Callithrix jacchus: one gene and its partners. The main gene of each other region encodes a partner of the protein of the gene in region 3 in a complex. Links are inferred from orthologs where the notes say so. Each region holds a gene or a part of one and is shown on either strand. Other genes may lie near its edges. The genes, in order: STX5, VAMP7, STX18 and BET1L.

Region 1 (7,730 bases), on a different chromosome or scaffold from region 3:
GCATAGGTGTCTTTCTCACCATCCTGAGCTCAGAGGAGCAAGCGCTTCCCTATCTTTTCCAGCCGTGCTGCTGAGCCCGTGACCTACCTTTATTGCATTCTAGGGTAGAGTTTCCTGAACTATGCCTCTTTTCCTCTCACCTGGAAGAGAGGAGAGTGGACCCCCTTCACAGTGGGAATTATAGGGTGCAGGTGTCAGAGGACATTGGGCTAGGTGTTACGAGAACTGGGTTCTGGTCCTGATGTAGCCTCTGATTTACTTTGGGACCCAGGCCTGAGCCTCCATCTCTGGCCTCAGCTCCTCAGCTTTACATGAAGTGCCCAAATGGGGAATCTTCCTGGCTTGTCTCATTTGAGATCTTGAGACATAGGCAGGGCTGGGTCACTGTATTTGTCCTGTTTCCCTTGCTTTTCCACATTGTAGTCTGATCTTGGTCATACGCCTCTGCTCAAAACGCATATAAGGTCATTCTCTCTCCTCCTTCATTCAGGCTGACCTCTGCTTGAAATTTAGCACCCACTGCCTACTGGACTGACTTGTTTTCCATCCCTTCATTTCCCTAGATGGGAGTATGGGGGGTGGAATGCTCACACACTTCCAACCTGGGGAACCTCTCCTCAGCTCTGTCCATTCATGCTGCTAAGCAGCTCTTCCAACACCCCAATGCTCAAAGAAGAAGCATACATCTAAGATGAGAAAGTTTCTCTGAGAGTGGGTCATAAATAAAGCAGTGTGCAGGGAGGGGGTGAGGATACAGAGATGCCAGAGGGTGGGTGGAGGGTGAGGATACTTTTGTGATGCTTCAGCCTTCCTCTAGGTCCGTGTCTATGATCCAGCCTCCCCTCAGCGCCGGCCAGTCCTAGAGACCACCTATGGAGAGTACCCACTAACAGCCATGACCCTCACTCCTGGAGGCAAGTGAGTGTTTAGAGGGGAAGGCATGGGAGGGTGGGGCTTGGGAAGGGCTCCAGGAGGTTACTGCTGACCCCGCCTGCCTCTGATCTCATTCTCAGCTCAGTGATTGTGGGAAACACTCATGGGCAGCTGGCAGAAATTGACCTTCGGCAAGGTGAGTGGACTAGGGTATGTTTGGGGAAAGGAAGGAGCGGGGATAAGGGTTAGGATTCCCTCTAAGGTGGTGCAGTGGGGCCAGTGAGGCCTCATGCCCGTGCCAAATTGCCTGGGTTCAAATCCTGATTTCCCCAAAAGCTGTACCACCTAAAACTTTTTTTTTGAGATGGCGTCTTGCTTTGTAGCCCAGGCTGGAGTGCAGTGGTGCAATCGCAGTTCACTGCAACCTCCACCTCCCTGATCCCAGTTCAAGCAATTCTCCTACCTCAGCCTCCCAAGTAGCTGGGATTACAGGCATGAGCCACCATGCCCAGCTAGGTTTTTTTGTATTTTTTTAGTAGAGACAGGGTTTTACCACATTGGCCAGTCTGGTCTTGAACTCCTGACCTTGTGATCCACCTTCCTCTGCCTCCCAAAGTGCTGGGATTACAGGTGTGAGCCACCGCACCTGGCCCAACCTTAAACTAATTATTTCAACTCCCTGTACCTTGGTTTCCTCACCTTCGAAATGGAACTATTAGTAGACGCTCCAGTCTCAGAGTTTTGTTGAAGATTAAGTGTTGAAATGGAAAGTGATTGAAACAGAAAATAATGAATGGTTGGTTATTGGCCAGCCAGTTATCACTGATGCTTCCGCCCCTTCTTCAGGGCGTCTACTGGGCTGTCTGAAGGGGCTGGCAGGCAGTGTCCGTGGGTTGCAGTGCCACCCTTCCAAGCCTCTACTGGCCTCCTGTGGCTTGGACAGAGTCTTGAGGATACACAGGATCCAGAATCCACGGGGTCTGGAGCATAAGGTAAGTGATCCCTCCTACCCCCAACTCATGGTCTTGTGGAAGCCCAGCCTCCTTGTGCCCCCCATTCATGTTTGTCTCAGCATGCCTGGCTCCTTAAGGCCTCTCATCTTCTGCAGGTTTATCTCAAGTCTCAATTGAACTGCCTCCTCCTGTCAGACAGGGACAACTGGGAGGTGAGCAGTTGGGTCAGGAATGTGGGAGCCAAGGGCATAGATGTGAGGACCTCCCTATGGAGAGGAAAAGGAGGCAGCTGGAATGCAGACCTGGGACCCTCTCTTTACCTCTCTGGTCACTTAATTTCTCTGAGAGGCATTAACAGTTAAAATCCTGAGAGGGTTATTGCCAAGAATATGGATGGGGCTGCTTTCTGGGAGTGGGGAATAAAGGTGGTGGTACCCAGAAGTTTTTTACTTCTTTTTGTGGAGGCGGGGTCTCCTTATGTTACCCAGTCTGGTCGCTAAGTCCTGGGCTCAAACAATCCTGCTTTGGCCTCCGAAAGTGCTGAGATTACAGGCGGGAGCCACTGTGCCCGGCCCCCCTGACTGTGAAGCTTCTTCCCACTCACCAGGATGAGCCCCAAGAACCTCAAGAACCCAACAACGTGCCCCTAGAAGACACAGAGACAGATGAACTTTGGGCATCCTTGGAGGCAGCTGCCAAGCGGAAGCTCTCAGATTTGGAGCAGACCCAAGGAGCTCTCCAAACCAGGCGGAGAAAGAAGAAGCGGCCTGGGTCCACCAGCCCCTGACACCCCTCTGTGCCCAGTTTGTAAATAAACAGCTAAACACCCTCCATGACCCTGAGCCTTTTGTGATGGGAGAAAGGAATGAGGGGTAGCTTGAGGTGGGGGCTCCCTGAGCTGGGGTGACGGGATACCTAATGTCACAAAGCCGGGCCTGGAGCCAGGCAGGCTGGTGTGGGTGGCACGGAGTCTGGGGCCGCGCGGGGCCATGGGCTGCTGCCAAGACAAGGACTTTCAGATGTCTGATGAGCAGGAAGAAGAGTCCGAGGACCTCGGGGAAGGTGAGGCCACAGATAAAAGAAGAGGGCCCAGGGAGCGGGAGAGGGGGCTTCCTGAGGGTAGGGCTGAGCTCAGAGGCCTCATCGTCCCCTCAGGCGCCGAAAATATCCACGTGAACGCCCCAGACCACCGGAATCACAAGTCGAACGAAAGCCTTCTGATCACTGTGCTGTGGCGGCGGCTATCCTTGTTCAGTCGTCGGGGCTCCTCGCGGGCAAGCAAGAGGCAATCAGACGTGGTTCGGAAGAAGGAGACTCCGATCCGAGAAGGCAACCAGGAGGAGCCGGAGAAGGGATGACTCCAGACCCGCTCTTAGTCCACCCGTACCTCCAGAGAATAAAATTTCTGACGTGAACCTGCAAGACCGTTCTGGGGACGGGGCGCGGACACCTCCGGGCGGCTGGCTCTTTAAGGCTCCTCCCCGGAGGCGGGCCCAGCCCCCTGGGCTCCGGCTGTTGTCTTCAGGGGCGGGGTCATGGTGGTATCTTAGCCAATGGGATGGTGGGGTTGCTCTTGCGTTTGGTGAGGGGCGTGTCTCTCGGATAGCCGGGCTCGAAAACGTGTGGGACCGCCCCGTCGTCACCGGGGGTGGGGCTACGTGTGGGTGACGTGGCCGCTTCCAGTCTTTGGTCGGGTTTCGGCGGCTTCGGTTCCCAGGGAGGAGGCGGTGACGGCCGGGGAGATTGGCAGTGGTGGCGGCGGCAGGCGGCAGAGGGGAGGTAAGATTCGCTTTCAGAGGGTGTCTGGACACCGTGTCAGCTCCGGGGTAGTGGTTTTACGGGGGCGACGACTGGCGGGGGGAAGGGAACCAGGGGCGAGCGGGCAAGTCCTGCCGGCCCGGCTCCCGGTGAGCGAATTCCTTGCCGTCCAATTAGGAAAGCCTCTGTTGAGAGAGACGTCGGCCTTAGCTAATGAGTGATTGAAGTCTTCCAGAAGGCGGACCTTGGGCGGGGGGTGGGACTTCCTGTTTCAAATAAACACCCAGAGGTTTGCCCCTCCGCCCACCGAAGTGTGTCCCTCTCTGGAGGTCCGTCACCCGCTCTCCCTGGCCGAAGGAAACCGCAGATACAAAAGGGCTGGGTAGGGGCAGTTACACAGGCCAGGCCAGAGTCTCAGGACCACAGGACTTGGCTCGGGCCCTCTCCCTGCTTCAGGGTCCTCGGCCCGCGTTTTGGCCGTCAGAGCCAAGTTGAAAGAAGAGTCTGAAGAGGGTTCGACTTGGGCCAGGGGAAAATCGGGGCCCTTTCCGCTGCGGGCCTGCTCCAGGATCTGCGAGCGCCTTGGGCGCGAAAGTCTTTAAAAAGTGCAGAAGGGGCTCGAGGATTTGTTGATTGGGACGGGGCTGGGGAGTTTGGGTAAAGAAGCTGCCTGGGGAAATGACACTCTCCCCTCCACAACAGTCCGAGGTTATGCGTCTCAATGATCCCGCGGAAACGCTACGGGTCTAAGAACACGGATCAGGGTGTCTACCTGGGTCTCTCAAAGACACAGGTCCTGTCCCCTGCAACTGCTGGCAGTAGCAGCAACGACATCGCCCCTCTGCCCCCCCCAGTGGCCCTCGTCCCTCCCCCTCCCGACACCATGTCCTGCCGGGATCGGACCCAGGAGTTTCTGTCTGCCTGCAAGTCGCTGCAGAGCCGTCAGGTAAGGACCTGCAGTGGAAAAGGTGAGGAGTGACTCTTACTCAAATCTAGGAAGGACTGTGCTCCAGCACTGTTAACTGAAGTAATTCTTGGGGAAACCTGATGGAACTGATAGGCTTGGATGGGGCTAGTAAGGTCTGCTATAAGTAACAGAGAAGAGGTCGGCTGGCTAATTAGAGGCAAGGACTTAGACATTTTTTAATGAGGAATCCCCTGGAGTGCAGGATTGCTATTCTGGAGAGAGTACTTCAGGGCCAGACTTGGCTGCAATATAATTGGTGTGAATAAGGAACAAGTTGTAGGAAGAGCCTTTAGCTGAGAGACATCCACCTTGAATTTTCCAGTATACTTCTGCCATAAGTTTGCTCTGTGACCATGAGAAAATTAGTTAATCTAGTTATGTCTTTCTTAGTTTTTAATCTCTGTAAGACGAAGGACATTTTTCTATATCAGTAATTTGTTGTTTTGTTTCTGTTTTGTTTTGAGATCTAATTTCAGCTCTATCAACAGGCTGGAGTGTAGTGGTGTGATCATAGCTCACTGCAGATTTGAACTCCTGTACTCAAAGGATCCTCTTACCTCTCGGCCTCCTGAGCAGCTGGGGCTACATGGATGTACCACACAGCTAATTTTTTTATTTTTTTGATATAGCCAGTGTCTCACGATGTTGCCCAGGTTGGTCTGGGCACCACACCTGGCCTAGATCAGTAATTTGTATCAAAATCAATGGGTTGGTTACGGTGGCTCATACCTGTAATTCCAGCACTTTGGGAGGCCTAGGCTAGGCCAGAGGATTGCTTGAGGCTAGGAGTTAGAGACCAGCCTGGGCAATATAGCAAGACCCTGTCTCTACAAAAAGTTAAAAATTAGCTAGGTGTGGTGGTGTATCCTGTAGTCCCAGCTACTTGGGAGGCTGAGCGGGAGGATCGCTTGAGGCAAGGATGTCACGGCCACAGTGAGCTATGATCATATATTCCAGCCTGGGAGACAGAGTGAGACCCTGTCTCAAAAACAGAACAGTTAAAAAAAAGTTTTTTTTTAACTATTCATCTGTTGGTAAAGCTGCTCTTCTATGTGATCTCCAAGGGCTTTGCAGTCATCCTCACTGACTTCCCGATTTGAGGAATAGAATGGCAATACAAGCTACCATTTATTTAGTGCTTACAATGTACCAGGTAGTTGATGAAAGTACTTTTCAGCTTTTTTGTTATTTAATCTTAGCAACAAGAAGCGGAGAGGTGTGGATTGTCTTCATTTTACAGAAGGGGAAATAAGAGATTCAGAATGTTTTAAGTAACTCGTTCCCAAAACCCCTAGCTAGTAAGTAGCGAGTCAAGATTTGAACTCCGGTTTACTTGTCTTCAAATCTGGAGTCTAAACCACTACCACTGATAAATCTAGATCATTGGATGGATGCCACCAGTACTAGAGATAGTTTAGTGGACACCTGAGGAAGAGTGAAAACTGGAACTGGGGAAGGGGGATCTAAAGTTGTCACCTCCTGCCATTGCTTTTCAGAATGGAATCCAGACAAATAAGCCAGCTTTGCGTGCTGTCCGACAGCGCAGTGAATTCACCCTCATGGCCAAGTGAGTTGAGAGAAGCTTTCTGGTGGGGTGATACAATGTCTGAAGAAAAGTAGGCTTGCCTTCAGTGGCCTTGGCTGTGAAGTCTGGGATTGGTTGTGCTGGAGCTTATATGGGAAAAGGCCTTCTCCTGCCCTTTCCCAGTCTCACTAGTGGTCGTTTGCAGGCGCATTGGGAAAGACCTTAGCAACACATTTGCCAAGCTGGAGAAGCTGACAATCTGTGAGTGTTCTTGGGGTCTTTCAGAAGTGGGGCAGTAGTACATCACAGAGGGCTGAGGACTACATTCCCTGAGCTTTGTCTTTCACCTTGCCCATTGCGGCTTCTTGTTTGTCTCTGTAGTGGCAAAGCGCAAGTCCCTCTTTGATGATAAAGCGGTGGAAATTGAAGAGCTTACATATATCATCAAACAGGTGAGCTACTAGCCATCAGAAGAGCCCAGCAATCTAATCAGATCACTTCTATGGTTCTGTCATTCTCCATTGCCATGGGGACCCAGGGCAAGTTTCTTTTTTTCAGAGAGAAGGGTCTCACTGTGTTGACCAGGCTGGAGTGTAGTGGTGCGATCCTAGCTCACTGCAGCTCTTAACTCTTGGGCTCTAGGCTCAAGCTTTCCTCTAGCCTCAGCCTGCTGAGTGGTTGAGACTACAGGCACATGTCCTCATGCCTGCATAATTTTTTTTCTTTTTGAGACCGAGTCTTGCTCTGTCACCCAGGCCGGAGTGTAGTGGTGCAATCTTGGCTCACTGCAACCTCAGCCTCCCAAGTAACTGGGATTACAGGCTCCTGCCACCACACCCGGCTAACTTCTTTAGTATTTTTAGTAGAGACGGGGTTTCACCATGTTGGTCAGGCTGGTCTAAAACTCCTAACCTCAAGTGATATGTCCGCCTCAGCCTCCCAAAGTATTGGGATTACAGGTGTGAGCCACCACGCCTGGCCATAATTTATTTTTATTTTTGTAGAGATGGGATCTTGCTGTATTGCCCAGCCTGGTCCTGAACTCCTGGCCTCAAGCAATCCTCCAGCCTCAGCCTCTCAAAGTTCTGGTGTTACAGTCCTGGCCCCAGAGCAAGTTTTTAGAGCAAGTGCAAACATCCTGCATTGAGTCAGTAGATACTTGCTGATCATCCACCATAGGCAAAGCATCAAGGTGGGCAGCGTTAACATTAACTGGGGCAAGATTCTTGCCTCTGGGTGGGCACTGTGGCTCACGCCTGTAATCCCAGCACTTTGGGAGGCCAAGGCAGGTGGATCACCTGAGGTCAGGAGTTGGAGACCAGCCTGGCCAACATGGTGAAACCCTGTCTCTACTAAAAAAAATACAAAAATTAGCTGGCACTCACTGTAATCCCAGCTACTCGGAATGCTGAGGAAGGAGAATCACTTGAACCCGGGAGGCGGAGGTTGCGGTGAGCCAAGATTGCACCACTGCACTCCAGCCTGGGCGACAAGAGTGGAGAAGAAAAAAGATTCGTGCCTTTAACGGCTTATTATCTAGAATAGGTATCCAGTTTCATAGACCCATCCTTAAAATGAGTTTAGAAGGCCAGGCGCAGTGGCTCACGCCTGTAATCCCAGGACTTTGGGAGGCCGAGGCGGGTGGATCGCGAGG
Region 2 (7,867 bases), on a different chromosome or scaffold from region 3:
TGAAATACCGCATATTCTCACTCATAGGCGGGTGATGAAAAATGAGAACACATGGACACAGGGAAGGGAGTACTATACACTGGGGTCTGTTGGGGGGAATAGGGGAGGGACAGCGGGGCGGGGGAGCTGGGGAGGGATAGCCTGGGGAGAAATGCCAAATGTGGGTCAAGGGGAGGAAGGCAGCAAAACACACGGCCATGTGTGTACCTATGCAACTATCTTGCATGTTCTGCACATGTACCCAAAACCTAAAATGCAATACACACTTGGGTCTACCGGGGGGAATAGGGGAGGGAAAGCGGGGTGGGGAGCTGGGGAGGGATAGCCTGGGGAGAAATGCCAAATGTGGGTGAAGGGGAGGAAGGCAGCAAAACACAGTGCCACGTGTGTACCTATGCAACTATCTCGCATGTTCTGCACATGTACCCCAAAACCTAAAATGCAATAATAAAAAAAAAGATGCTACCTATGAAGTCTTACCTGCCCCCATTGTGTCTTGTAATAGAATCCATAACATCTTGATGAGTACTGGGATAACAAAACAACTGCAGCACAGTGAACACTGCACTTGAAGTTGGAAAACCTGGCTCTGCTAATTATTAGCAGTATGCAAATGTCTCATAAACCGTTAAGTGCTATATAAAGATAAGACTCAAGAAGAAAAAGAATGGAAAGCTAAACCAGAGAAAGGAAGAAAAAGAGAATGCAATATAAAGGAAAGCCCTGAATCAACACTGTTCCTTTTTGTTCTCCTATTCATTCCTCACTTGGTCCCACAGCCATCATCCCAGTTTTACTTCATTACCGCTAAGAATCCTGTATTCGTTTCTTGTAACTGCTGTAATAAAGTACCAAAAACTTGGTGGCTTAAAACAACAAAATGTATCGCCTCCCAGTTCTGAGGGCTAAAAGTCCAAAATCGAGGTGCTGGCAGGGCCATGTTCCCTCTGCAACCTGTAGGGGAGGATCTTCCGTTATCTCTTTCTAGCTTCTGATAGTTTGCTGGCAATCCTTGGCATTTCTTGGCTTGGAGGTGCAGCACTTCCATCTTTACCTCTGTAGTTACACGGTGTTCTGTGTCTTTATATAGCATTCTCTCTGTGTCTCTTCCCTTCCTTTATATGGACCCCAGTCATACTGGATCAAGGGTCCACTCTACTCCACTGTGACCGCATTTTCAATTACATTTTTTTTTTTTTTTTTGAGACGGAGTCTCGCTCTTGTTAACCAGGCTGGAGTGCAATGGCGCGATCTCGGCTCACCGCAACCTCCGCCTCCTGGGTTCAGGCAATTCTCCTGCCTCAGCCTTCTGAGTAGCTGGGATTACAGGCACGCGCCACCATGCCCAGCTAATTTTTTGTTTTTTTTTAGTAGAGACGGGGTTTCACCATGTTGACCAGGATGGTCTCGATCTCTTGACCTCGTGATCCACCCACCTCGGCCTCCCAAAGTGCTGGGATTACAGGCGTGAGCCACCGTGCCCGGCCTCCATTCTTGTATCATGAGCAGACCATTAAATTAACTGGCCCACTAAAGTAAGGCGGTAGACAAGGTGCTCGGGAAGAGATGGGAGATCATTTTAGGAGGAACGGATGAAACAAGAGAAGGCATAGAGGTGAGAACAAGGTAAAGAAGGTACATAAACTAGCCTGATGAGATGGAATGGTCCACCTTTGGTGAATGACAAGATTGAGGAATACAGCTGATGGCCTTACATAGAGAAGGTCTTGTATAAATCATGTCATTTAAATTTGATCAGATATGGAGTTTTTCTATTTCAGTTCAACACATATGTACTGAGGGCTTGCTATATGCTAGTCAAAGTAGACACTGGAGGTATAAAGTTGATGAAGAAGGGACTCCTATACTTGAGGGAGCCATGGTACAATGAGGAAGACAGATATAAATAAATGTGATAAAGTGTAATAAGTGAATAATCTAAGACTGTCCACAACCACTCAGGAAATTTCTTAATGCTTTGTGATGATCTCACCTTGGGTGAATAACAGGAATGTAGGTATCAGCTTATGCCTTAGGAATTTCCTCACTATACTGTTAGGATTATTTCTCCGTGGAAGAGAGGCCAAAGTGTCTATTTTACCCTACTTTCCCAGTGCTCAGCACGGTGCCTAGCAGTTAACCTTCCCTCAAGTATTTTTTTTCTTTTCTGAGACGGAGTTTTGCTCTTATCCAGGCTGGAGTGCAATGGTGCGATCTCGGCTCACCGCAACCTCCGCTTCCTGGGTTCAGGCAATTCTCCTGCCTCAGCCTCCCGAGTAGCTGGGATTACACCCAGCTAATTTTTTGTATTTTTAGTAGAGACGGGGTTTCACCATGTTGACCAGGATGGTCTCGATCTCTTGACCTTGTGATCCACCCGCCTCGGCCTCCCAAAGTGCTGGGATTACAGGGTTGAGCCACCGCGCATGCCCTCAAGTATTTGTTGAATAAGTAAGTGAACATTGAGCATACTTTGGTTTTAAATACACTATAAATGATAGATAACTTTATATTCAGAAAGACCTAGTAAGAATAATATTTTCACAACCAAATCACCTTTTGAAGTAAGATAAAGCAGTTGAGCTAACAGTAATCCAATCCCCAACTCTTCCATCTGGGAGTTAGAAAGAATAAAGTAACTACAGATAAACCAAGAATTCGGATGCAATAAGCTTGGAGGAGATAGAAAAAATGAAGAATAAACACTGCTTAGAAAGGGGAAAAGGAGAGGTGTTTATGAAGTCAGGTTATAGATCAAGATTATTCCTGTTAGTATTACAACTATTCTTTCTGGATGATGCTCTGAGACCCAATCCAATCTCTCTGACTTTCTTAGGATAGGATCCCACCCTTTCAAGTCAACCACCTGTTTTATTTCACATTAGGCAATATATAACATAATCCTATTTCTGTTTTCCCCTCTAGACACAAACATGTAAGTTCCTGAGTGTAGCAACCTAAGTCTTGTTTACAGCTGTATCCCCTGCACTTAAAAAGAGAGTCGGCCAGGCGTGGTGGCTCATGCCTGTAAAATCCCAGCACTTTGGGAGGCCGAGGCGGGTGGATCACGAGGTCAAGAGATCGAGACCATCCTGGTCAACATGGTGAAACCCCGTCTCTACTAAAAATACAAAAAATTAGCTGGGCATGGTGGCGTGTGCCTGTAATCCCAGCTACTCAGGAGGCTGAGGCAGGAGAATTTCCTGAACCCAGGAGGTGGAGGTTGCGGTGAGCCGAGATCACGCCATTGCACTCCAGCCTGGGTAACAAGAGCGAAACTCCGTCTCAAAAAAAAAAAAAAAAGAGTGTCAAGCACAGATCAGCCACTCAATAAATATTTGTTAAACATACGAATGGATCTGCTCTCAGCCACAAGTATTCAAAGGTAATTAATATCCCTAACATGGCTGTATCTCTGGGATCAAGGGAGGGAGAATGGAGATACAGGTAGTTGAAAGCAATAAATGAGGCCGAATGAAGACAGCTGATTGTGAGAGTTATGGGAGTGGGAGATGTAAAGCGTTTACCAAAGACGCTAGCACGTGGTCAGAATTTGATAAACATTGGCGGTTAATAAAAACACCAAACAGGTCTGAAGATGAGGAAACAGGTCTAGGCGGAGATACAGTTCCTAGCCAAACAGAGGAAGAAGTGGACTGTCAATAATGAGCAGTGGAGGAAGGGTGAATAAGGGGCCAGGAACCCACGAAGGAGCATAAACAGCCAGAAGTAGGTGAAGCGGAAAGTGACGTCATCGAATAAGGACGCAGAGAGTTTTTAGAAGACTCGGTCGATCTCAAGCGATTTAAATGGTACAGAAAAGTCTTGTAGAATGCAAACTGAGAGAAAATTAACATTTTTTCCCTCCTGTAATGACAGCTTAAGTGACGCATTCTGACACTCTTTTTAACTCGAGGCCTTTCCAGCGGCAAAAGACGCACCTCGCCGAAACCGGACCTGCCCGACAACCGGTACTGTGTACACCAGAGAAGCCCAAGTCACCCTTACACTGCCTACCCGCTCCACCCCAGCACCTTTCCGTCGACACCTTCCCTCTCCCTCCGCAGTTGTGTTTCCGCCTCCCACAGAGCGCGCCCCACTCCATTTACCTGTCCGGGCACCTTCTGAGGGCGCGCGGGCTCGGGACCTAGGGGCGCGGGTCAGCGCAGGGTCGCCAACTGCCCGCTCCCAGAGGAGGCTGGGACCCGACGCCGCTAACTTCCGCGTGAAGCGCCCCGCCTACGCGTGGCCTCTTGGGAATGGGAGCGCTCCTCCAATGGCAGCAGGCAACAGGGCTAGGCCTGCTAAGTTCCCAGCCCCGCCCCCCCCGCACTTCCCAGGAGCCGTAGTGCATTCCGGGAGTAGTAGTTCCGACTGGCCACGTTCCGGGGACAGCTCTGGCCGTAAACAACGTCAAACGCCGTATAGGGATCCACGCAAATGAGAGAATGCAGGCTAAAGATTCTACCTGTAATCCCAGCACTTTGGGAGGCCGAGGCGGGTGGATCACGAGGTCAAGAGATCGAGACCATCCTGGTCAACATGGTGAAACCCCGTCTGTACTAAAAATACAAAAAATTAGCTGGGCACGGTGGCTCGTGCCGGTAATCCCAGCTACTCAGAAGGCTGAGGCAGGAGAATTGCCTGAACCCAAGAGGCGGTGGTTGCGGTGATCCGAGATCGCGCCATTGCACTCTAGCCTGGGTAACAAGAGAGAAACTCCGTCTTAAAAAAGAAAGAAAGAAAGAAAGAAAAGATTCTACCAGCAGTGAGTAGGCGGCATAAATGAAGAGCCACGCTTGCCCCGTCTCTCCTGCTTAGTTTCAGTAGGCAACATTGCCTGTTTCTTCACCGACAAAATAGAATTCAGCTGACAGGAAGTGCCTCTATTTTTGCCATGAAATGTTCTTATTTTCTTGTACCCCTCACCAATCCTTTCTCCCATTCTTTAGCAATAATAATGATAACTACTACTCTCCTTTGATCTAAACCCATCCCTCTTCCATCCCTATTCCCTGTTGCCGAATCAGAGTCAAGCTCTTCTTTTATTTTTGAGACGGAGTTTCGCTCTTGTTACCCAGGCTGGAGTGCAATGGCGCGATCTCGGCTCACCGCAACCCTTCTGGGTTCAGGCAATTCTCCTGCGTCAGCCTCCCGAGTAGCTGGGAATACAGGCGCCTGTCACCACGCCCAGCTAATTCTTTATATTTTTAGTACAGACGGGGTTTCACCATATTGGCCAGGCTGGTCTCCTGGTCTCCTGGTCTCCAACTTCTGACCTCATGATCAGTCCACCTCAGCCTCCCAAAGTGCTGGGATAACACGCATGAACCACTGCGCCTGGCCCTTATTTCCTCCTTTTTGAACTCCTTTATTCTCTTAGCTCTATGCAAGATGCTATACACTCCCGCTTCTCCTCTTACCTCTGTGGCAGCTCTTCATTTTCTTTTGAAATGTTCACATTCCATAGGGTTCTATCCTACGCCATCTTCTCTTCTTATTCTTCACACTCTTCCTGGTGATCTTAATCATTCCCCTTGCTTTATCTTCCCTCTGCAAAGATTCACATTTCACATTATTAAAATTATATTGCATTCAGTATCTATTCTTTAAGAGGCAGCATATTATATTAGAAAAAGAATAAGTTTTAGAGTCAGACAGATCTGAGTTACTAAGCTGTGTGAACTCTAAGTGTTGGCTCTCTTTAGACCTTTCAGGACTCTAGCAAATCCCCTTACTCCTTATTCTCTCCTAAAGTAATCTCATCTGTACCCTAAACTTTATAATATAATTAGCTGTCCATGTAAGACGTGCCTGATTCCCCTTTGCCTTCCACCATGATTGTAAGTTCCCTGAGATCTCCCTGTCAGAGGTATGTGAATCAAAACAACTTTATCGTGAATAGCAGCTGGGTAAAATGAGGCTGAGACCTACTGGGCTGCATTCCCAGATGGTTAAGGAATTCTAAATTGCAGGATGAGATAGGAGGTCAGCGCAAGTTACGGATCATAAAGACCTTGCTGATAAAACAGGTTGCAGTAAAGAAGCCAGCTAAAATCTGACAAAACCAAGATGGCGACAAGAGTGACCTCTGGTCGTCCTCACTGCTACACTCTCACCAGTGGCATGACAGTTTACAAATGCCATGGCAACATCAGGATCTTACCTTCTATGGTCTAAAAAGGGGAGGCATAAATAATCCACCCCTTGTTTAACATGTCATCAAGAAATAACCATAAAAACAGGCAACCAGCAGCCCTCCCGGATGCTCTGACTATGGAGTAGCCAGTCTTTTGTTCTTTTACTTTTGTAAATAAACTTGCTTTCACTTTACTCGATGGACTCGCCCTGAATTCTTTCTCGTGGGACATCCAAGAACCCTCTCTTGGGGTCTGGATCTGGACCCTCTTTCTTGTAACATCCCGGCCATGTTCTTGTAGAGCCTGTAGAACTGTGAGTCAATTAAACCTCTTTTCTTTATAAATTACCCAGTCTCAGGTAGTTCTTTTTTTTTTTCTTTGAGATGGAATCTCGCTCTGTCACCCAGGCTGGAGTGCAGTGGCATGATCTTGGCTAACTGCAACCTCCGTCTCCCAGGTTTAAGTGATTTTCCTGCCTTAGCCTCCTGACTAGCTGGGATTACAGGTGCAGGCCACAATCCCCAGCTAATTTATGTATTTGTAGTAGCGATGGGGTTTCACTTTGTTGGTCAGGGTGTTCTCGAACTCCTGACCTTGTGATCCATCTGCCTTGGTCTCCCAAACTGCTGGGATTACAGGCACAAGCCACGATGCCCAGTCTCTCACATAGTTCCTTATAGCAATGCAAGAATGGGCTAATACACCATTTCATCATGTTGCCAAAGAATGGAATCACCTTTAGTAATTGATGATTTTAGATAGTTTGAGTTTATGGAATAAAGGTTTTGCTTGCCATTTTCAGCTACCCAGCCTGGAATTATAGAATGAAAAGTTTAGAGAGAACCTGATCCAGTTGTACATACAAGAAATTTGCTGGTCTTGGCAAAGATTACAAAGCTAAGAAGCTGGATTATAAACTGGCTCTCATGTACTAGGTGCTCCAGAGCACCTAGTACATGAAAGTACAAGAAAGTCTGTTGGGCTAATATGAAATAAACTTATCATATACAAAGCTCTAGTCATATCTGAGACTCTGGTTTTATATTCTGTTTAACAGGATTGAATCATGATGTGGTTTTTTTTGCCTTGAGTTTTATTTAATGTTTGCATAAGCTTATCCTTAATTAAGATGTTTTACCTCTTATATAATAAGGCATGGAAGTTGATGGTTTAAATATGTGAGGTCTTGATCAAAAAATTCTCAAGAGAATTGAGAGCAAAGTTGAAGGTCTATTAACAAAGACAGGTAGTTACCACCTGGCAGCAGCATATCTATACTAAAGACTGTGGGGTGTGTGTGTGTGTGTGTGTGTGTGCGTGTGCATGTGCGTGTGTGTGTGTGTGTACACCCATGCAAACCAGTTCAGGGGAAGGAGAGATTGGAGCAGAATTGTATAATCACAGGTTCAGAACAAAACACCTGTCCCCAACCCCACTTCATTTGACACTGGGAATTTCCCCTACAACCTTCCAACTTAGTGGTTGTCTTGGATTCTTGCTGGAGAAGGGACCTCATTCCCATCCCTTTCCCAAAGTCAAGTCAGAAAGATTTGTCTCAACAACAGTTAGGTGATATCCAAATCACTGGTCAGAAACTGGCCTAAAGCCTGCCACTTCATAATGTTTGTTCTGTGAACCATTCAACGAGTGAGCGAGTGAGTGAATGCACACAGCCTAATTTCCTTAACATGGTTATTTTCAGCATCTAGGGTTACCATAGTGAATGG
Region 3 (7,821 bases):
GATCGTGCCATTGCACTCCAGCCTAGGCAGCAAGAGCAAACTCCATCTAAAGAAGGAAAGAAAGAAAGAAAAGAAAGAAAGAAGAAAGAAAGAAAGAAAGAAAGAAAGAAAGAAAGAAAGAAAGAAAGAAAGAAAGGGAAAGAAAGAAAGGGAAAGAAAGAAAGGAAGAAATCCTGAATTCTTTATCTAGGTTCCCTCTCGGGAATAAACATTTCTTCTTCGAGCTTCTCAGCCCTAGAGTCAGGGACCTTTCTAGAGTCCCTGAGGGGGGGAAAAAAAGGTTTTCAATGAATTTAATTAAGTTTACTTCCTAATGTGAAGGTATATGTTTTTGAAGGTCTTTCCTCATAAAGGTCTTCATCCTCACCATCATCACACCAAGTAGGCTGAGGAACAGGAGGGGTTGGTCTTGCTTTCTTAGGGGTGGCAAAGGCAGAAGGAAGTCTGAGTATTAGTGGAAGCGTGCAGTTCAAGCCTGTGTTGTTCAAGAGTCGACTGCGTATTTTTCAGAACAGTGTCTGGCCCAATCAATGTCTGCTGAACGCATAAAGAAAACATGATCTGTGCACTACATCCAACAGGCTGGGCACGGTGGCACACGCCTATAGTCCTAGCTACTCAGGAGGCTGAACCGAGAGGATCATTTGAGCCCTGGAGCTGCAGTAGTAACTCTCACAACATTTCTGCTCACCCTTTTAATCCACAGCCCCTTTCAGCTTCATGGAGTTTAATACAGTCCATGGTCAACGAAGTCACTTTGCTCTTTGAAATTAAAGAGTAAACACAACATTTAAAAAGCACAACCCATATCCCACGGTCTGTGGAAAGTTCAGCAGCCTCCTCAAGATCTTTGTGACTTTTCTAGGAATTTTATGTACTGTGGTCACTTGTGGATTTACAGCCTGATGTTTTGAGCTCACTTGGGACTCATATCCACTACAATCTTCTCTGCTCTTGCAAATCCACACAGAAAACTTAGATCTTTGTCCCTACCCTTCTACCCAAAATATCCAACTGCATCAAACACACTGTTCACACAAGGCACCACTCACTGAAGTCTTGATATAGTTCAGCCTCCCTCTCACTCAAAAATCCTTTCCAGTTACCTACTTTGTACTTTCCTGGCCCCTCCCTTGGTTCTGGCTTCTCTTTTTTCCCCCCTAATTCAATCCCCCTCACTTAATTATGCAGAGCAATCTCTCTTTCCTTCTACTGTGCCCCAGGCTTAACTTTGCATAGCCAAAAACTCATTAATGTCTGGATTAAACAAAGGGCCATTTGTGCAAGATAGAATCATTGGCAGAGATTTTGTGATTTCTTTCACTTTTCCTCAGTAGGTGGAAGAAAGCTGTATGGAAATGTATTTTCCTTAAACTGCAAGGAATGGCTACAGTTTGGGCTTAAATAATCTTTTTCTTCCTCCTTTCTGGTAAATATATACTTTCTTGACATCTATTTCTGATCAACTTTATTTCTTTAACATAGTGGTTCTCAAACTTTTGGTCTCAACTCTTTTGCACACTTAAAAATTGCTAAGGGCTGTAAACAATTTTTGTTTATATTGACATTATCAACATTTACTATATGAGAAACTAAAACCAAAACTTTTTATGTCTTTGAAAACCTTTTTTAAAGTCTGGCTTAATAGAAAACAGCTGTTCTGCATTCATTCCGTTGCAATATCACACACAGTCTCTAACAAACTCAAGTGTATACAACTCATGAGGAAGTGAGAGTGAAAAGGCAAGTAACGTCTTAGTATTATGAAAAGAGTTTTATATTGGTGACCATTTAAACCACTGCATTAACACATATTCTACTTGTGCATTCTCTTTATGAAAAAAAATCTTGAGATTTTGTTTTAACACTGAACCATAGGCCAGGCAAGGTGGCACATGCCCAAAGTCCCCGTCACTCAGGAGGCGGAGCGGGGGAGGATCATTTGAGCCCTGGGGTTCCAGTGAGTAGTGAGCTAGGATGGCGTCTTTGAACAGCCACTGTAATCTCACTGGGCAACATAGTGAGACCCCCATCTTAAACACACACACACACACCCCAGAACCATGAACCAAAAAATGCAGAAGAAACTCATTGACTGACTTGTCATTGTTTATGACTCAAGATTTGAAAACTATGCATGAAGGATGAACAGAATCCAGCGGCATTAGGGTCACCCTTTCACCTCTGTCTCCATCTAAAGTTCCTATTCATCCTTCAAATCTCTGCACAGGTGACGCCTTCTCTCTAGAGCCTCTTTCTCACCACAAATAAGATTATAATAATATTTATTAATTATAATATTTATTAATAACATTTATTAATATGTTTTTATTATTATAATAACAACATATTAACGATAACTACCATTTATTGGCCACTTACTGGGAGCCAAGAAACACCAAAACAGCACGCGTCGGGTCATTTAATTTTCACAGTAAACTCCGAGGAGGATGCTGGCTTCCCTTTACAGAAGAGGTGGCGGAAGGCTGGAGAACAAAGGCCTCTGGCTCTGTGCCCTGCACACCTGCTCTGTCCCAGCACTTATTGCACCCCGAGGGTCACCGTCCACGTGCCTCTGACATGCTCAGGGTGAGTCCTTGCAGTCAAAGGTCAAGGGGGTCTCGCCTTCGCGTCCCCCGCAACCAAATCGTCCGGGCTCAGTGAGGGAGCCACCAGAAGGGAAGGAACTTCCCAGCTTTCCGGTCTTTATGCTCCCGGAGCCCACAAGCCCCAGACAGACATAGGAGAGCTCTCCGTGCTGCTAAACCCTCCAAGCTTTGCCTGGAGAAGGGACTACCCGTGAGCACGTTGCCGGGTCCCTCCTCCTCTAGGCGCGCCAGCTTAGGCCGGAACCTTTTTCCTCCCGCCGCGGTAGCCGGGCGCAGGCCGGAACCTTTCTTCTCGCGCCACCGTTGCCGGGGGGAGGCGTGCGGGGTAGGACCAGTCCTCTAGCTGGCGGATTAGCGCCGCGGTCGCTGGCTGCTGACGTGGGCGGGTCCCGTTTGGGGCTGCGGGTGCGGGTCGCTATGGCGGTGGATATCACGCTGCTATTCCGGGCCAGCGTCAAGACCGTGAAGACGCGGAACAAGGCGCTGGGAGTGGCGGTGGGCGGCGGGGTCGATGGCAGCCGGGATGAGCTGTTCCGCCGGAGCCCCAGGCCCAAGGGCGACTTCTCCAGCCGGGCCCGCGAAGTGGTAAGCTGGTTGCTATGGAAACGGCGGCTTGAGGAGGGGACAGACCTGCGACAGGGACCCCAGGCCCCAAACCAGACCTCGTCCCTTAAGCATTGTGTAAAGAGTGTGGCCCCAAGGAGGACAGTACAGTTGGCCTCAGCCGACAGCTTCTGGGGGAAGGAGCAGCCTTATTTTGAGGAAGGGGGACGCATTATTGGGGAACGGATTTCTCCTTCGGCGGCGGGGTTTAGGGGGCGAAGAAGAAGACGCTCAGAAATCTCTATCTGGAAAGTGCATGGGCGGCTTTGTGAGGTCATGAGATCGCTGTCATTACAGACTTGCACTCGGGAAGTTTCCTCACAGTCCTTCGCTTCCTGTCGAAGCACTGACCACACTGTATTTGCCTGTTCTGTTTGCTTGCCTGCCTCCCACCCCCAGTTGAGATTAAAACCGTATTAAACCGAACTCTTTCTTTACTTTGTCTTCGCAATAAGTAGGACTCAGTTCCGCTTGAGACAGGTTTAGGATAATCTTTCACAGTGTTAAGTCATCTCAACTACTTTCTGTTTCCTGGACAGAGCAGGTGTTCCTTCATCTCCCTGGGACTAGGAACCTTTTCGTTAAGGGAAGGGACAGTGTTGTTTTCATCTCAGAATGCATGACTTATACAGCATTGCTTAGTAAATGTCTGTTGAATGAATGAATGAATAAATGGCTGTCTTTACCACGAGGCAGAAAACTGCACAACGGGAGAGATGTTTGTCTTGTTCCCTATTGTATATGTGACACCAAGTGGGGATCTAGTTTTTGTGGGGCCTAAAGCTTATATAATTCTGTCTCCTCTTTTTAAGAAGAAAACCGCCAAGAAAGGTTGAGAGCTTTGGAAGTTTGAAGTGAGGGACCCTGAAGCTTAAGCTTCATTAATTTCACGCTAAATCTACCTCTGCTTGGCATGCACTTGGCACTGTATAGACATTCAGATATTTTTGAATGAATGTATGCATGCGTGCATTAATGACAGTTAGCTGAAGATACTTAAACCTCAGAAAGGGGATTGGACCAGATGAATACACTTACCCCATTGATGAACATCTATGAAGCACTTACCTTTTGACCAGCCTCATGTTAGAGTAACATGATGTAAAAGGAGTGGTTGAGGATACGGACATAGAAATAAAACAAGTACTGTAAAGCCCTGTAAGTGTTGTGTAGGGCACAAAGAAGAATGTGGTCAGTTCTACCTGAGGATCAGAAAAGGCTTTATAGAGGTGATGATGCTTCAAACAAGTCTTGAAAGAGGATTAGTTGGTTTCAGTACAGACAAGGTGGGGAAGGGCATCTCAGGCTAAGAGCATAGTGTGCGCTAAGGTCTGGAGGTAGGTAATTGTCTGACATAAGTTGGTTCATAAACATTTGAGTGGGACTGGAATGTGGGACTTCTCATAAAAATTGGAATAGAGTGGCAGCAGGGGGAGATCTTGAAGGGCTTTGTATATCACTGCAGAGTTTGAATTTGGCCTTGTAGGTGGGCAGATGTTATATGATAGAGAAAGCACCAAAGATGGAGCGAGCCAAGAGACCAGGTTGTTGTCTGACGGTGCAACTATTAGCTACATGATTTCATTAAGCAAGTTTTAAGACCTTATTTTATTTACCTGTGAATGATCCTTTTTTTTCCTCCTCCTCCTTTTAAAAAACTACCTTGATCCTCTCTATATAACACATCAAAGTGAGAGCTACCTAGGTTGAAATGAGAGGAAGAGAAACAGGACATTCTCCCTCCCTATACTCCCAGTTTGTCCCAAGCACTTCCTGGGGTTCCTTTTGTAGAACTGTGGTATAATATTGTCTTTTGAAGGGCCCCTTCTAACTCTGAAACCACTGATTTATTAGCACTGTGCTAATTTTGAGTCCTGCTCAAGGAAAGGGGGGATTTGGGAATTGGAGAGGCAAGAGGCAACAGTTGGGTTGGCAAGCCCTTTGGAGAGTCCTGTAACCACTTCCACCTCTCCCTGAGTGGTGAAAATGTGTTTTAGGCATTTGAGTTTATGGGCCTCAGAGATAGTAACAGCAACAGTCCCTTAAGGTGCTGAGTTCCCTGTCTTTGGAAGTCATTAAACAGAGTGATGACTGCTTTTTAGAGATGTTTGAGAAGAACTTTGTCCATGTGTCACAGGGTTGGACCACATGGCAGTGAAACTTCCAATTCTGCTATGTATTGATGTGGGTACGTGTCACATCACCTCAAGTGAGTATATGGGCTGTGTTGTTCAGGGACACAGTCCCCCTGACCTAGAGGAAACATATATTCTTTTAAGCAGTTTTGATTTTCTGTTGTCATTGCTTTGTGTGTTATCTTCTATACTTGCAACTGTTTCCCACTCCGCATCTTTTCTTGTGGAAAGTTTAACTAGAAGAACTAGTGATGGATGTCCTGTGCTTTCACTACAGTTAGATGTGTCAAAAGTTTGGTGTTATTTTGTTTGGCCTGGATTCCTTATACAGAAAAGTCTGGTGCACATATCCTGATTCAGATTTAGCCCTGATTGTCAGACCTAAGGAAATGTAGTAAGTTATAGTATGCCTGTTAGTAAGTGCCTTCCTTGAAGCATTTGCTGTCACTTCTAGGATGCATTTTGTCTGGCTCAGTTTCTGTTCTTACATTCCATTCCTCAAATATATGCCTGGTGCCGGATTTCCATCTCACTGAATTGTTATAAAGGCTATATTAAGTTTAATAAAATTGCATTGAAACTAAATCTTCCTCCCCACCTCCCACCAACAGGCTTTCTTCTGCATCGTTCTTTTAAACATTTAACTTTTATGCTCAGTTTTGCTAAATTTATATATACTCAAATGCATGTCTACCCATTAAATTACAAATGGAGAGTAACAACTTTTCAGATTATTTGGGAGAGGAACTTATATTATTTGAACAACTCCAAATAATAATGAATATGTCACTCTACAATGGGAATTTGATGAGTTAACTCATTTGAAGTGTGGGACTAATGAGGACTGTGGGATTGGAAAGGGATCTGGGCCTTGGGTTCAAATCTGGCTTCTTGTACTTAGAAATGGGTGAACTTGGGCAAGTCTGACTCTCATTTTCCATTTCTATAAAATGGACATGATAATACCCTACTTAACTCACCAGCTGAGTTGGGTAGTTGTGAGTCACCCTGCTCGCATAGTCTTTATGTATATGTTTTAAGGAACCAGACTGATTATTATTGTTCCCCTAAACTACCTCGCCTCTCCTCATGGAGGCCATTTAGACGTGTTTTCTTTAGTGGCACCAAGCTATGCTTTCCAAACCACTTAGCTTTCTTGCACTTCATTAAGGGAGCCAAGTTAAGTGCACGAGGAACGCGTGAAAGTCCTGTGCAGGTGCTGACGAATCAGTGGTGGTGCAGAAGTACTGTCCGCATTTGTAAAAGACAGTGGCATTTCTTTGTCAATGTGAAACTCTTTCAGTGATGGCAGATGTGCGGCAGGTGTGCAGCTGTTACTTTCTCTTCTTCCCTGTGATAGTGGAAGCCAATGCTAATTTCTTAGTGGATCCCTATAGCTCAGAGTCCTTTACAACATGGTACCCCAGGAGCCATTACCAATTCAAGTTGAAATCCGCTTGGCATATAGTAAAAGTAGAATCTGTATGCTTAGAGCAGACCCATTTATTTTAGGCACTCGAAAGGACCTTGAGTTCATTTGGTTAATAGGTAAGAAAACTAACACCCGAATAAATAAAAGGACTTGCCCAAAGTCATGGCAGTTGAGGTCATAGGACAGAGCCAGAGTAGAAGCCAGGTCCTTTGGCGTGGTTTAATGCTGCTCTCTCCCTCCCCCCTACATCCTCAGATAATTTTTAAACCAGAATTCCCTTGGTTTCTGAATGGTGGTGAGTTTCTTCTTCTTGAGTTAATTCTGCATATCGAATGGAACTTGAGGCAGAAAGACTTGGATTTGAATGCCTCTTACCTGCTCTATGAACTCAGGGAAGTTACTTAATTTCGGTTACCTTATTTACTCACTCTATTCAGTCTGAAATAGAGTGAGTAATGGCAACCTTATAAAGTTGTTAGATGAAGTAAGAAAAGGTGTGCAGGTACCTGCATGAGTCTCAGTTCTTTTGGTTGCAAGTGAGGGTAACAGAACGTAAACTAACCTGAACAAAGTGCAAATGCCTTAGCTCATGTCACTGGGAAATCCAGGGATAGAACTTCTTTCTCTAGCTCTTATCCATAAAGCCCCAGGAAGGAACTCTAATTGGTTCTGCTTGATCCTAAGCTCTCTCCTACGATAGTCATTATGGCCAGAGGGATGTTTCTCTAATTGTTCAGGTCTGTAGCCCCACCAGAACCATGGAAAAGGCAGTGCTGTGTCTGGGAGTGGGAATTCAAGGAATGTTGGGCAAACAAAAGCAATAGAAGAAACATCCCTCACAGTGCCTCGGACAGTGCCTGATGTGCCTTTACCTTGCCTGCCTGGCTGTCTTCAACTCTGTGGGGAATGAGAAACTAGAAATGCAGGAGTTTATTATTTATTTTCGTTTATTTTTTTGAGACCGAGTCTCGCTCTGTCTCCCAGACTGGAGTACAGTAGTATGATCTCAGCTCACTGCAACCTCCTCCTCCCCGGTTCAAGC
Region 4 (7,905 bases), on a different chromosome or scaffold from region 3:
GGTGCGTGCCTGTAATCCCAGCACTTTGGGAGGCCGAGACGGGTGGATCACGAGGTCAAGAGATCGAGACCATTCTGGTCAACATGGTGAAACCCCGTCTCTACTAAACACACAAAAAACATTAGCTGGGCATGGTGGCGCGTGCCTGTAATCCCAGCACTTTGGGAGGCCGAGACGGGTGGATCACGAGGTCAAGAGATCGAGACCATCCTGGTCAACATGGTGAAACCCCGTCTCTACTAAACACACAAAAAAAATTAGCTGGGCATGGTGGTGCGTGCCTGTAATCCCAGCTACTCGGGAGGCTGAGGCAGGAGAATTGCCTGAACCCAGGAGGTGGAGGTTGTGGTGAGTTGAGATCGCACCATTGCACTCCAGCCTGGGTAATAAGAGCGAAACTCCGTCTCAGAAAAAAAAAAAAAAAATCACCTCCCTGAGTAGAAACACATTCCCTGGGGAGGTCACACAGTGTGTCAGCCCCACTCATGGCCTCATGGTGAAGGATCTCTTACAGTCTCCCCTGACACCACACAGCCCTCCTGCCAGGCAGCAAGAGCCAGAAGGGGATCCCTGAGGTTCCAGCCCGAAACTGGCATCTCCTTGGCCTTGTCCCAATAGGCTGAGAGATCCTATCCTCTCCATGTCTGACACTCAGAAACCCGAAGGTACCCAGTGGGAAGCAAGCAGGTCCAGAAAATGCTGGAGCTGAGCTGAGACCCAGCCACGGGTTGCCATCAGTGCTCACCTCGTCCACCTCCCCCTTGATGGAGTCGAGGGTGATGTTGAAGAGCACTTTGAGGATCTCCATGGCCCGCTCAGTCTCTTGGGAAGGAAGGAGCTTGGGTGGGTTCCCTTCGGGAGTCACCCCCAGCGTCAGTTCCAGCGTGTCCGTCAGCAGACTCACTCCTTTCAGTTCCTGAAACAGCTGCTGGCGCACATCGGTGCGGAGTGCAGTCAGCAGGAAGAGGAGCCGCAAGTCAAAGAACTGGACGTCGTGCGGGAAGGTCCTCACTCGGTACAGCCCCACGCGCTCTGTGAGCTTCACCACTAGGCGGGCCTCCGCTGCCAGCGTCTGTGCCACAGGGCTGCTGAGCACGAGGTTGCACAGGCACTTGAGGGACTCCAGAACAACATCCATGTCTGCGGACTCAGGGACGGAGCCCTCGGAGACAGAGATGCCAGCATGGGTGGCCAGTGCCTGCATGCTCTGGCGGCTGGTGAACGGGTCCCAGCAGTTGCGGTCCCGGGACAGGATTCGGACACTCTGCAGCCAGGTGACACGGTGGGAGGGTGGCAAGCCCTGTTCCAGGACGGAGACCAGCAGCTCCGCCAGTCTCTGTGGGCAAGGAGAAGAGCGGCTCCACCAGGTCCCTCTTCCTGGGGCCACCCGTCCCTGCCCCTTTACCCCTCGGGCCAGCACCCACCTTCCGGTCCGCCTGCTGGGTGTCATCAAACGTGAAGCTCTGGGAGTGCTGCAGAGAGAAACAGTGAATTCAAGTCCAGAGAGGGGCAGGCTCCGCGTCCGCTGATGGGCGGCGGCCACCGCTCAGAACGGATGGCAGGGTCTACACGCGCCCCCATCCCTACGCACCTGCCACCCAGCGGTGCACCCCACACTCTCCCCTCAACATCGCATCCCGGACCTGGCCCCCCCGACGCCGCCGTGTCCCCTGTGCTCGCGGATACAGCCCCTGCCTCGCTCTCCCACCCGTCCCTGCCACGCGTGCCCGTCCCCCCCGGCCTCCGGATACAGCCCCTGCCTCGCTCTCCCACCCGTCCCTGCCACGCGTGCCCGCCCCTCGGCCTCCGGATACAGCCCCTGCCTCGCTCTCCTACCCGTCCCTGCCACGCGTGCCCCCCCCCCCCGGCCTCCGGATACAGCCCCTGCCTCGCTCTCCTACCCGTCCCTGCCACGCGTGCCCCCCCCCCCCGGCCTCCGGATACAGCCCCTGCCTCGCTCTCCTACCCGTCCCTGCCACGCGTGCCCCCCCCCCCGGCCTCCGGATACAGCCCCTGCCTCGCTCTCCCACCCGTCCCTGCCACGCGTGCCCGACCCCGGCCTCCGGATACAGCCCCTGCCTCGCTCTCCTACCCGTCCCTGCCACGCGTGCCCCCCCCCCCCGGCCTCCGGATACAGCCCCTGCCTCGCTCTCCTACCCGTCCCTGCCACGCGTGCCCCCCCCCCCGGCCTCCGGATACAGCCCCTGCCTCGCTCTCCCACCCGTCCCTGCCACGCGTGCCCGACCCCGGCCTCCGGATACAGCCCCTGCCTCGCTCTCCTACCCGTCCCTGCCACGCGTGCCCGACTCCGGCCTCCGGCGGCGGCTCACCTCCTGGTTGTACGACCGCAGAGCTTCCATAATCACATCCTCCTTCCCCGTCTCCACGGCTGCTGCAACCGCCCGGGGCTCCATGGCGCCCCCGGGACCCGCCCCAGCCGTTCCGGGCCGCAATTCGCCGGCCCCGCCCTGGCCCAGAGAGCTCCGCGCCAGCGCGCATGGGAGGCCGGGACGGGGTGCGGCGTCGGGCGGCGCCTTCAGGGGGCGCGGCCTGGAGCCGAAGCGGCGGTTCGAAGGTTTCCAGACCCGAGTCGCCCTCGACCGAACTGACCCCTCTCCTTGTGACCCGCGCTTCTTGGGCAGGAATTTCCAACGGGAAAGGATCTCAGCCCCCACCTCGCCCTGCCACACACACAGCGCCGCCCCTGGATCTCCACAGAACGGATGGGGTGTGGAGGGGGAGCCGAAGTGGGGGACTTTTCAGTCCTGGGCCATCGGGTTCGTTAGGCGTTTGCTGGGGAACGCAGGCGAACGGGACTCCTAGGTCCATGCTTTCGCGGAGCTTTTGTTCCCGAGGGGAAGGCACACAAGCAAACACCAAAGGACACGAGGCTGTGCTTCAAAACGGGCAGCGAGGAAACGCTGCTTTTGCTGACACCGGACGACAGGAAGTGGCCGGGAACAGGGCTCCTGCTCGGGGGGGCCTGCTCCCTCCTCATGACGCGCCTGTGAATCCTTCCCCGCCGTTAGGACCTAACCCACGGAAGCGTCTATCCCACACCGTAGTCCTGGCACCGAGCCAACAGCCCCGCCCCGCCCTACGCTCACAGGAACAACAAACGTCACATCCGCGGTGGCGCACACCAGTAATCCCAGCACCTTGGGAGGCCGAGGCGGGAGGGCTGCTTGGCCCGGCAGGCGGAGGGTGCAGTGAGCCGAGATCGCGTCACTGCACGCCAGCCTGGGACGGTGCGGAAAATGAAAGGCACATCCGTGCCGCGCTCCTGCGACCGGCGGTTCCCAACTCGTAGCCCTCAGCCGGAAGTCAGCGAGTTCAAGGCGGAAGGGGCAGGGGCATATAGGGGCGTGGTCGCTGCGGAGGCGGGGCCGGAAGTCCTGCCCCTTGACTGCGCCACGTCCGAGGCGGCGGTTGCCGCGTCGGTGTCGGCGTTGAAGAGCCGGGGAAGGCACCATGGCGGACTGGGCTAGGGGTGAGCGCCAGAGAGCGGAGTCGTTGGGGGCGGGGCCGGGCCCGGCCGGAGCCGACGCTGTTACCTGCAGAGCCGCGTACGCCTGCCTCTAAACTGTCCTCGGCGGAGAGGACCCTGTCACGGGGGCAGATTCGGATCCTTCCGGGTCCGAGGGGGCGGCCTAGCCGCTCCAGCGAGGGGTCGCGCAGCTGCGGGGTCCCCCAACTCTCCGCCATTCCCTGTGAGATCGTTCTGCGTGGGTTCGGGGTGCGGGAGCCTCCGCATTCGGCAGGTCCCGGGGCCAGGCCCTAGGAGTACAGGCCACGCGTGCACCGTTGGTGTCCAAGCAGGCGTCTGCTAACTTGGGCCTCGATGGCCCCAGTCCCCCTCCCGGAGCCCGTGTTCTTGTCTGCAAAGTGGGATATTGATGTTTGCCTGTCTGTGTTGCACCCGTTGCTTACATTGAAGCTAGGCAGCAGGTGGTTCTCACCTACCTGATGTGACAGAAATTCCTTATCACCTGGCCCAGCCTATCACATCACAGGCCAGGCCGCTGCAAGCACTATGCTCTGGGTGTTGCGGGAAGCCCTCTGTGGGATGCAGACCAAGGATCCCTCTCTTGGTCGACCTCAGCTCCCATGGTGGGGAATTGGGAGCTTGGCTCAGACCTTTTTTTGTGCGGTAAAGCGCCTTCTCAACATTCTGTCCTGGTTCCTTGCCACCTCTTCAGGAGCCAGCTCTGAAGTCGCCCCTGTAGGAGCCTTCCTACTGCTCTGCTGGGTACTTTCCCCAAGCCTTTCCTACACTTTTACACAGATGGGACCTCCATGGATGCAAGTGTCACATCTTACCAGCATCCCAGGGCTGGGTGCAGTTTCTGCTACACAGTGTGGGAAACTGCTGGTTGCACCGAGCCTGTTGTGGGTGCTTGCCCATCCCCACCTGGATGTGTACACAGGGCGTGTGTTCACATGACATGCGCTTACTTACACACATCGTTCTTTATGCAGCCTGCCTCACATGTGCAAGATCCACCTGCTGGAACCTGGTTAGGGCCTTGTGTCTGCCACCTGCCCAGCAGACACAGGGCCCAGTCCCCCTGGATTTCCAACTCACCCAGATGTGGTTGGAGCGACGGGTCAGGGGCCGTGCTCACCGGTGGATGCAACCCCTCAGCCTCTCTCTCTTCTCAGGTCAGAGTCCTGGTGCTGTGGAAGAGATACTAGACCGGGAGAACAAGCGAATGACCGACAGCCTGGCCTCCAAAGTCACCAGGCTCAAATCGGTCAGTGGTGGTCTCCTGTCCTCTTACCTCTACCATGTGCCCTTGGGGGGTGGGGGTCAGAGGAAAGGCAGACGGCCCAGAGGAGTTTCAGGCAGTTTTCTATCCTCATGTGCTTTGTGGCTGTGCTCACCTGCATGAGGCCCCACCTGGACCTCTCTGCTGCTGCAGCACTCTGGCAGAGTTGTTGGCAGGGCTTGTCTGGTCTGGGGAGGGTGAGTGCTGCATTATGTGTCTGCTCTGGCCCAACCCTGCCCTCTCTGTGCTGAACAGCTTGCCCTGGACATCGACAGGGACGCAGAGGATCAGAACCGGTACCTGGATGGCATGGTAAGGGCCTGCCCCAACACTACCTGCTGTAGAGCCTGCAGTGTCTCCTTCAGCACTGGTGCGGGTGGGTGGTGAAATCACCACTTCTGTGTGATCTTGCTGGGATTCCCCCTTTAGGACTCGGATTTCACAAGCATGACCGGCCTGCTTACAGGGAGTGTGAAGCGCTTTTCCGCAATGGCAAGGTCTGGACGGGACAACCGGAAGCTTCTGTGTGGCATGGCCATGGGTCTGATTGTGGTCTTCTTCATCCTCTCCTACTTCTTGTCGAGGGCAAGGACGTGAACCAGTGGGAGCTGGTGTCTCTGGGTGCCTGGCGTCTTGGGCTCCAGAGAACTTACCTACAAAATACTCCTTTGAAATTACAATTGTGGGTTTGGAATCTTCTTCCTGTGGGGCAGGAGGCTGTGGCAGCCTGTGACCTGATGAGCTCATGTTGGCTGTGGAAGGGACTCTCTTTTGGGGAAACCAAGGGCCAGCCCCTCCCTCCTCCCCCAGGTGCTAGAGACACCAGCAGAGTTGGGGCCACAGCATGTCTGGAGGAGCCAGGTCCAAGCGCAGCAGCTGTTGAATCCCAGACGTAGCCACTTGAGGCCTGCAGCCTTTCTCCCAGCTCTTGGGACGCTGACATCTTAAGGCCCTATGGCTGTGTCCTTGTCTGGGTGAGGCCATGTCTGTGATCCAAGGTGCCTGGAGCTGACACAGGAAGGGACTGTGAACCCTGAGTGAGTGCCATCTCCTCCGACTGAGGCCTCTCAGCCTGGAGATGACGGTTCCTTCTGGCCACGGTTGCTAGGCATGGGCAGACCAGCGTGGGCTACTCTGCTGTGAGTTTTCTCTGCCTGCTCTCCAGTCCTGCGGATGAAGTGAGACCCTTGGGGAGAACTGGGGTGTGGATGGAGTGAACTGCAGCCTTGGCCTAGTGGCTGCGCCTGGATCCTTCTGGGTCATGTGACTGTATCCAGGAGCAGAAACTTGCGTTCTCAGGAGTCAGGATCAGCCCAGCACCAAAGACGTGTTTTCGGGAGAGCAGACCTAGAAGTGGGCCTGTTTGGCATTTCAGAGTCAGGCAAACCTGTGGATCTACACAGGAAGGTTCCTGTGAGGACTCCAGTTGCCGCCTAGCTTGCTGGTAACTTTTGCCCCTCTGCCAAGCCCTGCCAGGCTCCCTTGACTGTGATGGTGCTCCGTGCTGTCCTCTTGTCTCTAGCCTCTGCAGGATGCCCACCCTACCCACCTCTCCCTGGGCTGGGCTGATGTTCAAACCACTGGACTGGCAGGGAAATGACTTCTTCCCACCTCAAGATGAGGTCCCAGCCCCCTTGTCTTGGCATAAAAACACCTTTGAAGTATGAGTCGTGTGCTTCTGTGCCCTTCTTTGTCCTGTTCCAATCTTGTTCCTTCCAGTCACTCCCTGGAGACTATGGGCTCACTGTCCCCCCACCTGTGGCCACACCATGTGTCCCGTCCATCCCAAACTGCCTCAGAGCTCCAGGCTGACCAGAGACAAGGCACAGCCTGGAGCCTGCAGCCCCACTTTGCTCACCCTTCCCCTCCCTTCCTTCTCCCTTACACACAGCAAGCCCCCTTTCTCCATGCACGCTCACCACAGCCCCCTTCCTTGTACCTGGCTGAGACTGTCAGCCTCCCAGAGGAGTGGAGTCCATCTTCTTACTCGCTCATGCAGTGCAGGCCTGCTTCTTCTCACCCAGCAAGGTCTACTCGACTGCCTCCATTCTCTGGGGCTTTGCTGTTGCCCTGTAACCTAGCTGGGCTGGTGTTGCTCCCAGCTTGCTGCCCCCTCTTCAGATGTCCCTTTGCAGACCCCTGTCATTTTTCCGGCACCAGTGTCCTTGCCTGCCATGGCTTGCCTTAGTCCTCTGCTCATCAGGGGCTTGTCCCTTGGTTACCTGGTAGGGTAGCGGCTGCCTGCATTGTCTCCCAACTCCATCCCGCATGTTTTCCTGGGCCATTCAAGGCTGACCTCCATTTCTGGGGAATGTGACTGAGCTGTGGGAACCGAACCAGACCCCCGTGCTGTTTCCTTAGTGGCACCCGCTCATCTTGCTGATGCAAACTAGGAAGTTAGGCTGCAACTCGGGGTGACCTTTGTCGTCTCTGAGACGCAGTCTCTGTATTCCCTCCCTGTCTCTCCATCTCCACAGCTGTTTGCAGCCCTCCCAGGTACTTTGGGGTCTGGGCTGGACTTCTTTCTGGTTTGCTTATCTGCGTCTTACTCTTGCTGTGTTAAGATCCTGCAAAGGGAGAGTGGCAACCCTGCTGCTGCTGTGCCAGACCAGAGTTTTCTGAGGGGCCGACCCTAACCCTCAGCCCCGTGCACCTGACCCTGTAAAAGAGCGGGCTTTGCTGACTGTGATCCCTGATACCAGTGAAACCAAAAGGGATCTTGGGGCCCATCGTGAGAGCCAGGGCTACCCACTCTGCCAAGTGAGGACAGAGTGCTAGGTTCTATCCCATAATTTCAAGACAAAACACGTAAACAATAAAAATTTGTCGTAAATATGATTTTATGAAGAACTAATCATATGGTCTCTGTTGTCCTCATTTCCTTGGGATTTGAGGAAATTTGTGTGGCGCTCACTGGTCCCCAGGCTGGCCATGGGCACTGGTGCCATAAACCCTCTCCCTTCCCATCAGGGTTGACTTTGGGCGGGGCAGCCACAGGCTCTGTAGTGACGGCCATTTCTTGGTTGATGGGTTGGAAGTCATCAGAGGTTTGAAGAATTACAGTGGCCTTTGTTTTTCCAGAAATGCTGACCATAGAGATGCTTTAGCCTCGTCTCAAATAGCTTAGATGTTATAA

Evidence for each region.
Region 1: STX18 (region 3) and STX5 share a complex: the UniProt entries of both Homo sapiens proteins name them as parts of the SNARE complex. The link is inferred for Callithrix jacchus from reciprocal best matches to the Homo sapiens genes STX18 and STX5.
Region 2: STX18 (region 3) and VAMP7 share a complex: the UniProt entries of both Homo sapiens proteins name them as parts of the SNARE complex. The link is inferred for Callithrix jacchus from reciprocal best matches to the Homo sapiens genes STX18 and VAMP7.
Region 4: STX18 (region 3) and BET1L share a complex: the UniProt entries of both Homo sapiens proteins name them as parts of the SNARE complex. The link is inferred for Callithrix jacchus from reciprocal best matches to the Homo sapiens genes STX18 and BET1L.

Annotation. Positions count from the first base shown.
Region 1 is NC_133511.1:120,110,647-120,118,376, reverse strand, and holds the start of STX5 (syntaxin-5), read left to right. Parts: upstream 1-3,507; 5' UTR 3,508-3,605; intron 3,606-4,286; 5' UTR 4,287-4,305; coding exon 4,306-4,530; intron 4,531-6,047; coding exon 6,048-6,118; intron 6,119-6,281; coding exon 6,282-6,337; intron 6,338-6,457; coding exon 6,458-6,528; intron 6,529-7,730. Other genes in the region: WDR74 (WD repeat-containing protein 74), read left to right, coding at 818-918, 1,014-1,069, 1,720-1,865, 1,982-2,038, 2,434-2,613; TEX54 (testis-expressed protein 54), read left to right, coding at 2,816-3,184. UniProt on the Homo sapiens protein: Mediates endoplasmic reticulum to Golgi transport.
Region 2 is NC_133524.1:151,448,867-151,456,733, reverse strand, and holds the start of VAMP7 (vesicle-associated membrane protein 7), read right to left. Parts: upstream 4,233-7,867; 5' UTR 4,110-4,232; intron 1-4,109. UniProt on the Homo sapiens protein: Involved in the targeting and/or fusion of transport vesicles to their target membrane during transport of proteins from the early endosome to the lysosome. Required for heterotypic fusion of late endosomes with lysosomes and homotypic lysosomal fusion.
Region 3 is NC_133504.1:184,725,242-184,733,062, reverse strand, and holds the start of STX18 (syntaxin-18), read left to right. Parts: upstream 1-2,942; 5' UTR 2,943-3,026; coding exon 3,027-3,194; intron 3,195-7,821. UniProt on the Homo sapiens protein: Syntaxin that may be involved in targeting and fusion of Golgi-derived retrograde transport vesicles with the ER.
Region 4 is NC_133511.1:131,723,915-131,731,819, forward strand, and holds BET1L (BET1-like protein), read left to right. Parts: upstream 1-3,404; 5' UTR 3,405-3,471; coding exon 3,472-3,490; intron 3,491-4,662; coding exon 4,663-4,754; intron 4,755-5,024; coding exon 5,025-5,081; intron 5,082-5,198; coding exon 5,199-5,366; 3' UTR 5,367-7,246; coding exon of another isoform or gene 7,247-7,405; 3' UTR 7,406-7,623; downstream 7,624-7,905. Other genes in the region: RIC8A (chaperone Ric-8A), read right to left, coding at 746-1,336, 1,425-1,472, 2,331-2,414. UniProt on the Homo sapiens protein: Vesicle SNARE required for targeting and fusion of retrograde transport vesicles with the Golgi complex. Required for the integrity of the Golgi complex.